Arabidopsis thaliana: one gene and its partner. The protein of the gene in region 1 interacts with the protein of each later gene in a pairwise test. Each region holds a gene or a part of one and is shown on either strand. Other genes may lie near its edges. The genes, in order: AT3G11850 and MYB121.

Region 1 (5,351 bases):
AAGTTAGTGAAAGTGTGATGTTATTGATTTAAGATTTATAGAAAGAATTTAATATTTTCATAAATCTGAAATTATTGAATTTATTCTTTTATAAAGTCAATTAAAGTTTTGTGTTATTCATTTAAAACAAAAGAATTTATGATTGTTAATAAATTAAAATATAATTTTATTGTTGATTAGTATAGAACATATATAACTAATAATATAATAATTTAATTCATCAACAATCATAGATTTTTTTTGTTTTAATTCAATAACACAAAACTTTTATTGATTTTATAAAATTATGAATCCAATAACTTCATATTTATGAAGACTTTAGATTACTTTTACAAATCTTAAACTAATCAGAAAAATTGATTGAATCACTAAAATTCTATTTAACTTACAAACTAATAACATCCCTTTACTTTCTATAATTTATTAGAGTCATCAAAATTCTTTGTAAAATAAGAATCTGTAATACCCTCTAAACTTTTCTAAAGTTTGTCACTCTTTCCTTGATTTTTCGACAATCTTCTACCCCGGTTTTAAAAGAAGTAAACTAATACCAAAGTAGACTTTTTTTTATCCCAAACTACGAAATTATCACATTGATGAAAAAGACACACCGTTTTATTTTATTTTGTTTTCCGATTGATAATTTAGTTCATTAGTATTTTTTTCAATCTCCTAATCACATGTGACTATTCAATATATAGTTAAAAAAAAATTAAAAACTACAAAACCTCTTGATGAGGTGCAAAACATATACTTTTTGATGCTATTTGAAAAACTACAAAACCTCATTCTAGAAAAAGCTCTTTCTCTAAAAATATTTCTTCTCGGTTGTCGATGTCACGTCGACCAACAAGAATTTCCCCAATGGGTAAATTAACTTTTAAAAAAAAACTCGTCCAATTTTTCTCCTTCACCACAATCTCCTAAAAACTCGTTCGGCTCTTTTGCCACAAAGAAACAAATCAGGGATACAATGAGCTCTAAACTTCATAATTTTTCTTTCGTTTCCATTTCTCATACCTATAATTCTAAAATATATGAAAAAATTATTATAAAATATATTAATATATCAAATTTTGGACTAAATAAAATTTAACCCATGATATAAAACGGGGCATGATCTAGTACTACATTATTTTTAAAAATATGACCATAGTCAATGTATTATAATTACTCAAATCAACACACTCAATATGAAACTACACAAATCCTTTTCTTCATAAATACAATCTGACAGAAGTTCATTAAATCCTAAATTCGTGACTTGTCTTACATTTTGCAACAAATCAACCATATATAAACACAAAAGTACAAATTGCAAATACAAAAAACAATTAAAAGAAAACTTTTTTGCTGAATTCGAACAAGAAAGTTGACTTCACAAAATTTGCTGGTTGTATTGGTCTATTGGATATGGGCCTTAAAAGAACATTTGAAATTATGAACCCGAGATATTTTTTTTGATTTTTGAGGTCATGCCGCCATGTACTTTGTTCGTAGGTTATTGACTTATGACACCTCACTCAATCAAATATCAGCCGTTGATCTTTAGCCAATACCTCATCTTGACGTTCATTCAGGATCGTCTCCTCGTTTATACCAAAAATAGTCTCCCTGACAACCATCATCGGGAACAGGAGACAGAGTCTGACAGACAGAAGAGAGACTCCATGAGAATCCTTCTCCTCCGTTTATTATAGACAAAAAAAAATAAAAATCCAGATGAATAAAACAGATTTTTAGGGTTTCCAAAAATCAAACAATTATCAAAACCTTTTTTTCAATACATACAATTTGAATTCATTCTCTACAATTACGAAAATTCCTTAATACCTTTTTTGTCCTCTTTTTTTTGTTTGTTTACGCGATAGAAAAAACGTTTCTCGTTCTGTTTCTCTGTTTCGTGGACGGGAGACAAAATTCTCTCCAATTTCTGGGTCGCCAAGGGGTAAGTAAGGTTTCATCAATTTGCGTTTTCGGATTTTTGTTTTCTCTCTTGATCCAGATTCTGAAATTGAGTTTTACTGTGTTGTTTCCGCAGAATTGGCTTCAGCTGGATTTTTTTTTTTTTTTTTTCCTGAGAAGCTTCCGATGATTTAGGGGTTAGTGCGATTTAGGTCTCTTCCTGTAATTTTTCGCGATTCTCTGTATAATTTGTGTGGTTGGTGTGAGGAGAATCTTGGAATTGGGAATGGAATCTCCGATCAAATGTTGCGACTGTGGATGCGATTGTTGTTCTTCCTCCCCTGGTTCATGGATTCGATCTGTGAAGAAGAGAAGACACGACGAATTACAGACCGAGAAACGATTCTCGATACCGGAGCTGGACGACCTAGACATGTTCTCTAATCCTAGAGTCCAAATTGAGAACGAATGTGAATTACTACGCGAGACTGTTAGCAATCAACAGCAAACGATTCAGGATTTGTATCATGAGCTTGAGCAAGAGCGTATTGCTTCATCAACTGCTGCAGATGAAACAGTAAAGATGATTCAGACGTTGGAGCGTGAAAAAGCAAAAATCGACTTGGAACTGAAACAGCTTCAGCGTAGTGTTGACGAAACATTGAATTATGAAAACCAAGAGATTGAGGCATTGGAAAATATGGTTTATCAAAGGGATCAGACGATTCAGGCTCTTACGTTTGAAACTCAGGCTTATAAGCACAGAATGATGAGTTTTGGGCTAACCGAAGCAGAAGCTGATGGTGAGAGGAGCTTGCTTAGTCGTAACCCGAGCATGATCGACTTTAGTTCTGAATATGACTGCCCTACACAAGATTACCCTCCTCTTAAATGCAATATTAATGAGAACCAAGACCCTCTTGAGGCTGATATCTATGTTGCAGATGATGAGAACTATCCACCAGCTGATTCTCCTCATGGGAGAGTACATTTAAAGACTTTGGATCGAAGACTCAGCCAGATGGAGACGAATCCTAGCTTTACTCAGTTGAATAGAGGGAGGGATGTTTCAGAGAAGGGGATGGTTGGTGAGAGTCCTAGGCGTCAAAGACATTTTAGGAGGATTTCCCCTACTGGTTCATCAAGTTCACACTTGGGAGCATCTAAAGAACTAAGACCTGATGTTTTTGTTGATTCCCCGAGGTCCCAAAGCTACAGCTCTAAGAAAATGGAAGATGTCTCGTATACAGAGAATAATAATGCTAAAGATGACTTGTCGGAAATAGGAGATGACATGAGTGATAGAGTTTATACCATTGATTCTGTTCATCACAGCAGTGTGGCTCATAGTGGCGGTGTAGCGGAGCAGAAGATTGAGGATGGTGCTTCTGATGGCAATGTTGTTTTCCCGAGAGAACACACGGATCTTGGTGATCCTGATATAACGAAACTCTACATGAGGCTTCAAGCACTGGAGGCTGACAGGGAATCAATGAAACATGCGCTTCTCTCTATGAGGACTGAAAAGGCTCAAATGGTACTGTTGAAAGAAATTGCTCAACACTTGTCAAAGGAAGTTGTCCCTCAACGGAGATTGCCTCTACGTAAAGCATCTATTGCTGGGCCATTGACTTTTACGCCGGTCTTTAAGGTGATTGTCATGTTTCTGTATGATCACAAAGCAACTTCGTCTAAAGCTGTCTCTTGTTTTCTACTGTTCTCACTCTAACTTGTTTCTGTAATTTTGATTCTTATTCCTCTGCAGTGGATCACATCTTTTGTTTCCTGGAAAAGAAAGGCTCGTCGAAGCAAGTAAGTAACCTGTAACAAATTTTGGTTACTCTATGCTTCACATACCTATCACAAGAGAAAGATCTGTGAATCTCTTTGAGAAATAACTATTGTCATCCATTTTCAAACCGGTGCTCTCTTGCACTATAATCTCGTCCTTAATATTCGAAAAACAAGGCAATGTTTCACATGATAGTTTAGAAATTACTGTTGGATTTTAGGGAGCTGCTTATGAAACTTATGCTGGTCTCTGTTCCAATGCAAATACGCAGATACATGTATGGGATGTCAGGAAACAACATCGGCTTGCAAATGCTTCTAGAAAAAGTCCCTCGGTCAAGGAAATGGCGATGTCTTAGGAGCACGCAAGTGTGAAACAGATCCAATCCTTTCAAGCCAACAAAATCACTCTCCTGACTCTAGATTCGAAGCACATAATGTCAAATACTGATGTGGGATTGGCGAGGTAACATTTGTCGGCCTTTCTTCAACTTGAATTGGATTCTCGTTCTTGGGTTGCAGAGAAAATGTATTTGCTGTGCGATTTTCAATCTGTTTTCCTCAATATTTTAACTGTTGTATAAAAGAATTGGGTTGAAGAATGATATAACTCAGAGGCTATACAATCTTTGTATGGTTTCTAACATGAATTGTTTCATTCATGGATTCTTTTTTCTTTTTTTTATCAATATTTTGGAGATGGATTCATCACATAAATAAGTGAAGGAAAATGTAAAATGTTCCCGTTTCAAACCTCATTTCCCACACTTGGGAAAAGGAAAATAAAAATATTTGTTGTCAGCATTCCTCCTATATATTTGTTGACCTTAAAATGAAACAAAAGAAATTTTCCATGAAATATAATAGAATGTTCTGTTTGCTGACCATGAGTTGAATAGAGTTAACAAAAAGAAAAAAAAGTTTGTAATCGACCATGGACATATTTTGGAAGGATCAAAATTCAGACCATGTTCTAAAGCCGAGTTGCTGCTGAGAGTAAAAAACAATATATAGATTTAACATATTTGCTCTAGTCTCTTGTTCAAAAAAAGATGGTCTAGAAATCTTCGATATTGAATTTTTCGATTACCAAAAATAAAAATAATTAGGAGGGGACTTACATAAAATTGTTATTTTATTCAGTATACGTGAAGAGTGATTTCATTTCATTGACAAATAAACAGACACGTGTCATGTTTTGATAGTGAATATTTCTTTGTCTAAAAAACATATGTTAGTGGAATTCAAAAGCGAAGACCAATTAAGTAAACGGAGCCGCCATTTCTTACTTCCACCACATGTTTCTCTTCTTCTTCATCTTTACTATTATTCTAGATCATCATTATATGAATATATATACGTACACAAAATCATACGTTTTTCCACAAATGGATCAAGAAGAGGAAGAGATCGAGATTCCTAATTACTTTATCTGCCCAATCTCACTAGAGATCATGAAAGATCCAGTCACGACCGTTTCTGGCATCACTTACGACCGTCAAAACATCGTTAAATGGCTCGAAAAGGTCCCTTCTTGTCCCGTCACGAAGCAACCTCTTCCCTTAGACTCCGATCTTACACCTAACCACATGCTTCGCCGTCTTATCCAACACTGGTGCGTCGAGAACGAGACACGTGGCGTTGTCAGAATCTCT
Region 2 (4,539 bases), 8.1 Mb from region 1:
AATTTAGAGTGCTTTTGTTTCCCCCAAATAATTGATGTGCATAAATGGTTAAATAGCAAAAATGTTGTCCATACGTGTAGAGTCTTTGTCAGAATAGAACTTTTATATTTTTCTCTTTAATAGCAAAAATTATCATACTTCTAACGTCATTAAAGATTTTGTCTTTGATGCTTATCTGATAGCATCGACCAAAAACTCTACTTCGAAATGTAAAGTGAAAGATTTCTTATTAAACAAATTCTTAAATACAAATTACCAAAACCACAAGAAAGATTTAAAAAAAAAGTATATAAGAAACAAAGAAAAGAGTCATAATTCTGATAATTTAACATGTCTTCAAAGATCATTTTTAAATTTCATTTCCAAAGTTGAAATGTTCAGGGTTAAGAGAACTTTTTTCTCTATCTTATGTAAGAAATATTAATTAACATTTTTTTCCCTATTATATGATTTTATAGTTATCTGTTTTCTATGAATAATATTATTATTTAACATATTTGGTAATTATTTAAATTGGTAATAAAGAAGTTTTTTCTAATCAATCTCTATCGTAATGGATTGATGAGATCTAATTTTAAAAAAATCCTAATGAGGAATAGGTCCTCTCTCCACCTATAAATATATATATTTAAACCATCATAAGAATATAAAAAACACAACACGTTAAAAACTAAGTTTATAGACAAGGTAAGAGAAATCTGCTAACCTAAAAATTCAGGTAATCCGTTCACAAAAAAACTATCTGCAACAATGAATAGAGGTAATCTTATAAACCTCCTAATGAATCTATTATGTGATTAACTTAAATATTTAAAAATTTTAGGGGTTCATGTAAAGTTACACGTACATCTTAATCTAGTTTTCAAGTACGAATCTTGAACGTAAAAATGTTTAAACATTCAGATTAAAAAAAGACAGAAGATCGTATAATCTTTGGTTACTTGGTTTAACTAATTCAAGAAAACCCTAACATTGCCATAAATGTTGATACGTACAGCCGAAAGGCCACATGGATACAAGGTGAGTCATCGTTACTTTATTGTATGGAAGGCATTTTCTGATTTGTTTATTGCCCGATTTAGTATACACTTCATTAGGCCCATTAGTTAGAGCATAATTATATTTTTATATTTGTAAACTAATCACAAATTACTCTTAAAGCATGCCTCTTTTTTCGTTATTTTATTACACAGATGTTGAGATTCTAGTGGCTCATAAGTTCCTTTCGAGAATTTAAAGACAACCCACTAATATATTTTATAATATATATTTTCCGCCGAGAACTGAATCCAGAACAAAGTTATGCCTCTGTGATGATGTCTATAAGAAACTTTTTAAGTGTCCAAAGACAAAACCTTGTTGTTCAAGAATATTTTCTTTTTGGTGATGACGAATAAATTCATGGTACGGATCTATGTATAGATTTGGTAATAGGGTACTTGTAGAATCCTAATTGGGTAAGAAAATAATGAGCTGGTTCTCATTATGGTATCGACACTTGTTCGAAGAATAGTGGCTTCTCAAGATTGTTTCCGTGATTGAGGAAGTCTAGCTAGTAAAAAAAAATTATGATTGACGAGGCTAATGATAATGCATATGCTACATGGTTAACTATAGAGTCTATAAGTACATGAAATAAAATATTTAGAATCAAAACACCCACAAAAAGTAAGAAGTGACTGTTGTCAAGCATATAATAGAGATCCACATACTATTTATATCCACACGCACATGTTCAAGCAGAGACAAAGATATAGAAAACATAAACATAGAAGAGCAAATTAAGCAACAGTCTTACACAGACAGAAGTTGTAGAATTGATTTGTGAGTGAAAAACTATTTAAGACTGAACAAGTATGCTTGATTGGGGAGTTCAAGGTCATCATCAAAAGCATGATCATGATATTTATCAACAACAACATCAACAACAAGGATGTAGGAAGGGACCATGGACACTTGAAGAAGACAAGCTTCTCGCAGAGTATGTTACTTCGCATGGTGAAGGAAGATGGAGCACTGTAGCTAAGTGTGCAGGTAACTATTTTGATTCAATCATGGCTTCTAAAAACACATAAGTTTTACTAATCTAATCTTTATAATCTCGTAGACATATTAGTAAGCGAATCACCAAATTATACCAAAGATCTTGATCTTCTTTCTGTTTGAGTCTTTTTTTCAATGAAAGTAAGATTTAATTATAATAGTTATATATACATCTATATAATTAAATAACACATGCTTTTATGACGATTAATATAGATAAGTGTGAGATCATATAAGTGTATATGGGGTATAGTTGACCTGATTAAGCTCTTTCATTCTTTTTCTTTGTCTCTTTTTTATTTATTTATAATCTAGAAGCAGTCTCAAACTTTCACAAACAGAAAGAGGACAATGTCATGGTGGAAAGGTTTTACGGTTTATTGTTTTTCGAATAATCAAAAGATGATCTTTTATGATTCCTTGTTTTCTGTTTTCAGGAGTTGACTTTCATAAGTTTTGGGAACATTTTTACATATATTATACCCTTTTTATTCGAGCATTTTCGTCGAGATAATGTTAAAATTTAAGAGATTCATACTCATATATTATATAGATAAAGATCATCAAGTTGCATTATTTTTTTTATATCCATGTTATATGTCAAACCCATTTATAGTGCTCCATTTCCTTTCATGGAATTTAAAAATTAGGGTTGAATAGAAGTGGTAAAAGCTGTAGACTAAGGTGGGTGAACTACTTGAGGCCAGGGCTTAAGAGAGGACAAATCACTCCTCAAGAAGAAGGAATCATCCTTGAACTTCATTCCCTTTGGGGTAACAAGTAAGCTACTCTTTTTTTTCTTCTTGATATTCTCTAGTAAATGGTAAGCTCAAACCTACATAATAGATTGATATTATATATCAATGAAAGAAAGAGATACAATTACTCCAAAGTTTAACTAAAATATCATAGTCTAAACTATTCTTCATGAGTCTCAACTCTTTATTATCATACATTTGTACTAGTGTATACCTATGTTTAGTTTTTGTAATCAATCCTTTCATGAGAACTTACATATTTTCACAAAATATATATAGGTGGTCTACAATCGCAAGATATTTACCAGGACGAACCGATAATGAAATAAAAAACTACTGGAGAACACATTACAAGAAAAACCAAAAATCTTCTTCGAAGCAAGACAAAGTAAAAAAATCTCTATCCCGGAAACAACAACAAGTGGATCTTAAACCACAACCACAAGCACAATCTGAGAATCATCAGTCTCAGCTAGTGTCCCAAGATCACATGAATATCGACAACGATCATAACATAGCTTCATCCTTGTATTACCCGACAAGTGTCTTCGATGACAAATTATATATGCCTCAAAGTGTAGCAACAACCTCATCCGACCACTCTATGATCGATGAAGGTCACTTGTGGGGCAGCTTGTGGAATCTAGACGAGGATGATCCGCATAGCTTTGGTGGTGGCTCAGGACAGGGAACAGCTGCGGATATTGATGAGAAGTTTCCAGACAGCGGAATTGAGGCCCCGTCGTGTGGCTCAGGGGATTATAGTTATACTGGAGTTTACATGGGAGGCTATATTTTTTGATTAGTATGCTCGAAGATATCAAGAAGTTGTGTCTTCGTAGGTTGAGAAAAAAATTAAAACACCTCATTGTGTAATTTATAACTTTAGTAGTGATCTAAAACTAGAGTGGAGTGAGGCTAATAAGATGGTTTGGAATATATATGTCTATTCTACCATTGTTTGTATAAGTTTTATGGAATAAATAGTTTCAAAATAATCTTTCCATTTTTTTATTCCATGAACCCTTAATAGTGGTAGACATCATGCATTGTACTATTTCAGTGAAACCTTGACTCTGTCACATATAATTCATGTTGAGTAATCTTTCAAGTTAACTTAAGGCCTACAATAGCTTTAATAAGTCGGTTAAAGTATAAGATAAGGCTTAAGGAAATATATTAGTTTTAAGAGTTATCTAAACCTAATTGTAATAGGATTAGCAAAGTTGTGTCTTCTATAAATACATCTTTTGGTTAAGTTGTAACCATAAGAGAAGTGATAGAGCTTGTTTAGTTTTGAGAGAGTTTCTAAAGATCAAAAACGAGAGTAATTCTTTATATAAGTTTGTTCGAATCTTCTTTGTTTGGTATCAGAGCGGTTTCGATCAACTTGAAGGAGTCAAGTATGGAATCTTGAAGAACACAGCAGAGACGTAATCGAGCCATGGACGACATCGACTAACCACCACAACAGAAGGATCTTGTCCAGACAGCCATCTAATGCCCTATGCTAACCTTGCCAAACTATACAGTTTGTGCCATGAGGATGAAGGTCTTACTACGGGTTAATAAGTTGTGGGGCATGGGCATAGTTGAACGCGGTTTAGCAGACTCCACAAAACGATATCGCAATTTCTTTGTTGTTCCAATCCATCTCGAAGATTCTAATCTTACAAATAGGTGAACAAGTTTCTTCTAAAGGGATTTGGGACTCAATCAAATCTAGAAATCTCGGAGT

The links.
Region 2: the proteins of AT3G11850 (region 1) and MYB121 interact in a two-hybrid assay, tested with the Arabidopsis thaliana proteins (one large-scale study listed by BioGRID).

The regions. Positions count from the first base shown.
Region 1 is NC_003074.8:3,737,942-3,743,292, reverse strand, and holds AT3G11850 (myosin-binding protein (Protein of unknown function, DUF593)), read left to right. Parts: upstream 1-1,539; 5' UTR 1,540-1,948; intron 1,949-2,041; 5' UTR 2,042-2,191; coding exon 2,192-3,556; intron 3,557-3,670; coding exon 3,671-3,717; intron 3,718-3,968; coding exon 3,969-4,071; 3' UTR 4,072-4,540; downstream 4,541-5,351. Other genes in the region: PUB24 (E3 ubiquitin-protein ligase PUB24-like protein), read left to right, coding at 5,085-5,351.
Region 2 is NC_003074.8:11,836,711-11,841,249, forward strand, and holds MYB121 (myb domain protein 121), read left to right. Parts: upstream 1-1,652; 5' UTR 1,653-1,856; coding exon 1,857-2,034; intron 2,035-2,693; coding exon 2,694-2,823; intron 2,824-3,080; coding exon 3,081-3,603; 3' UTR 3,604-3,792; downstream 3,793-4,539.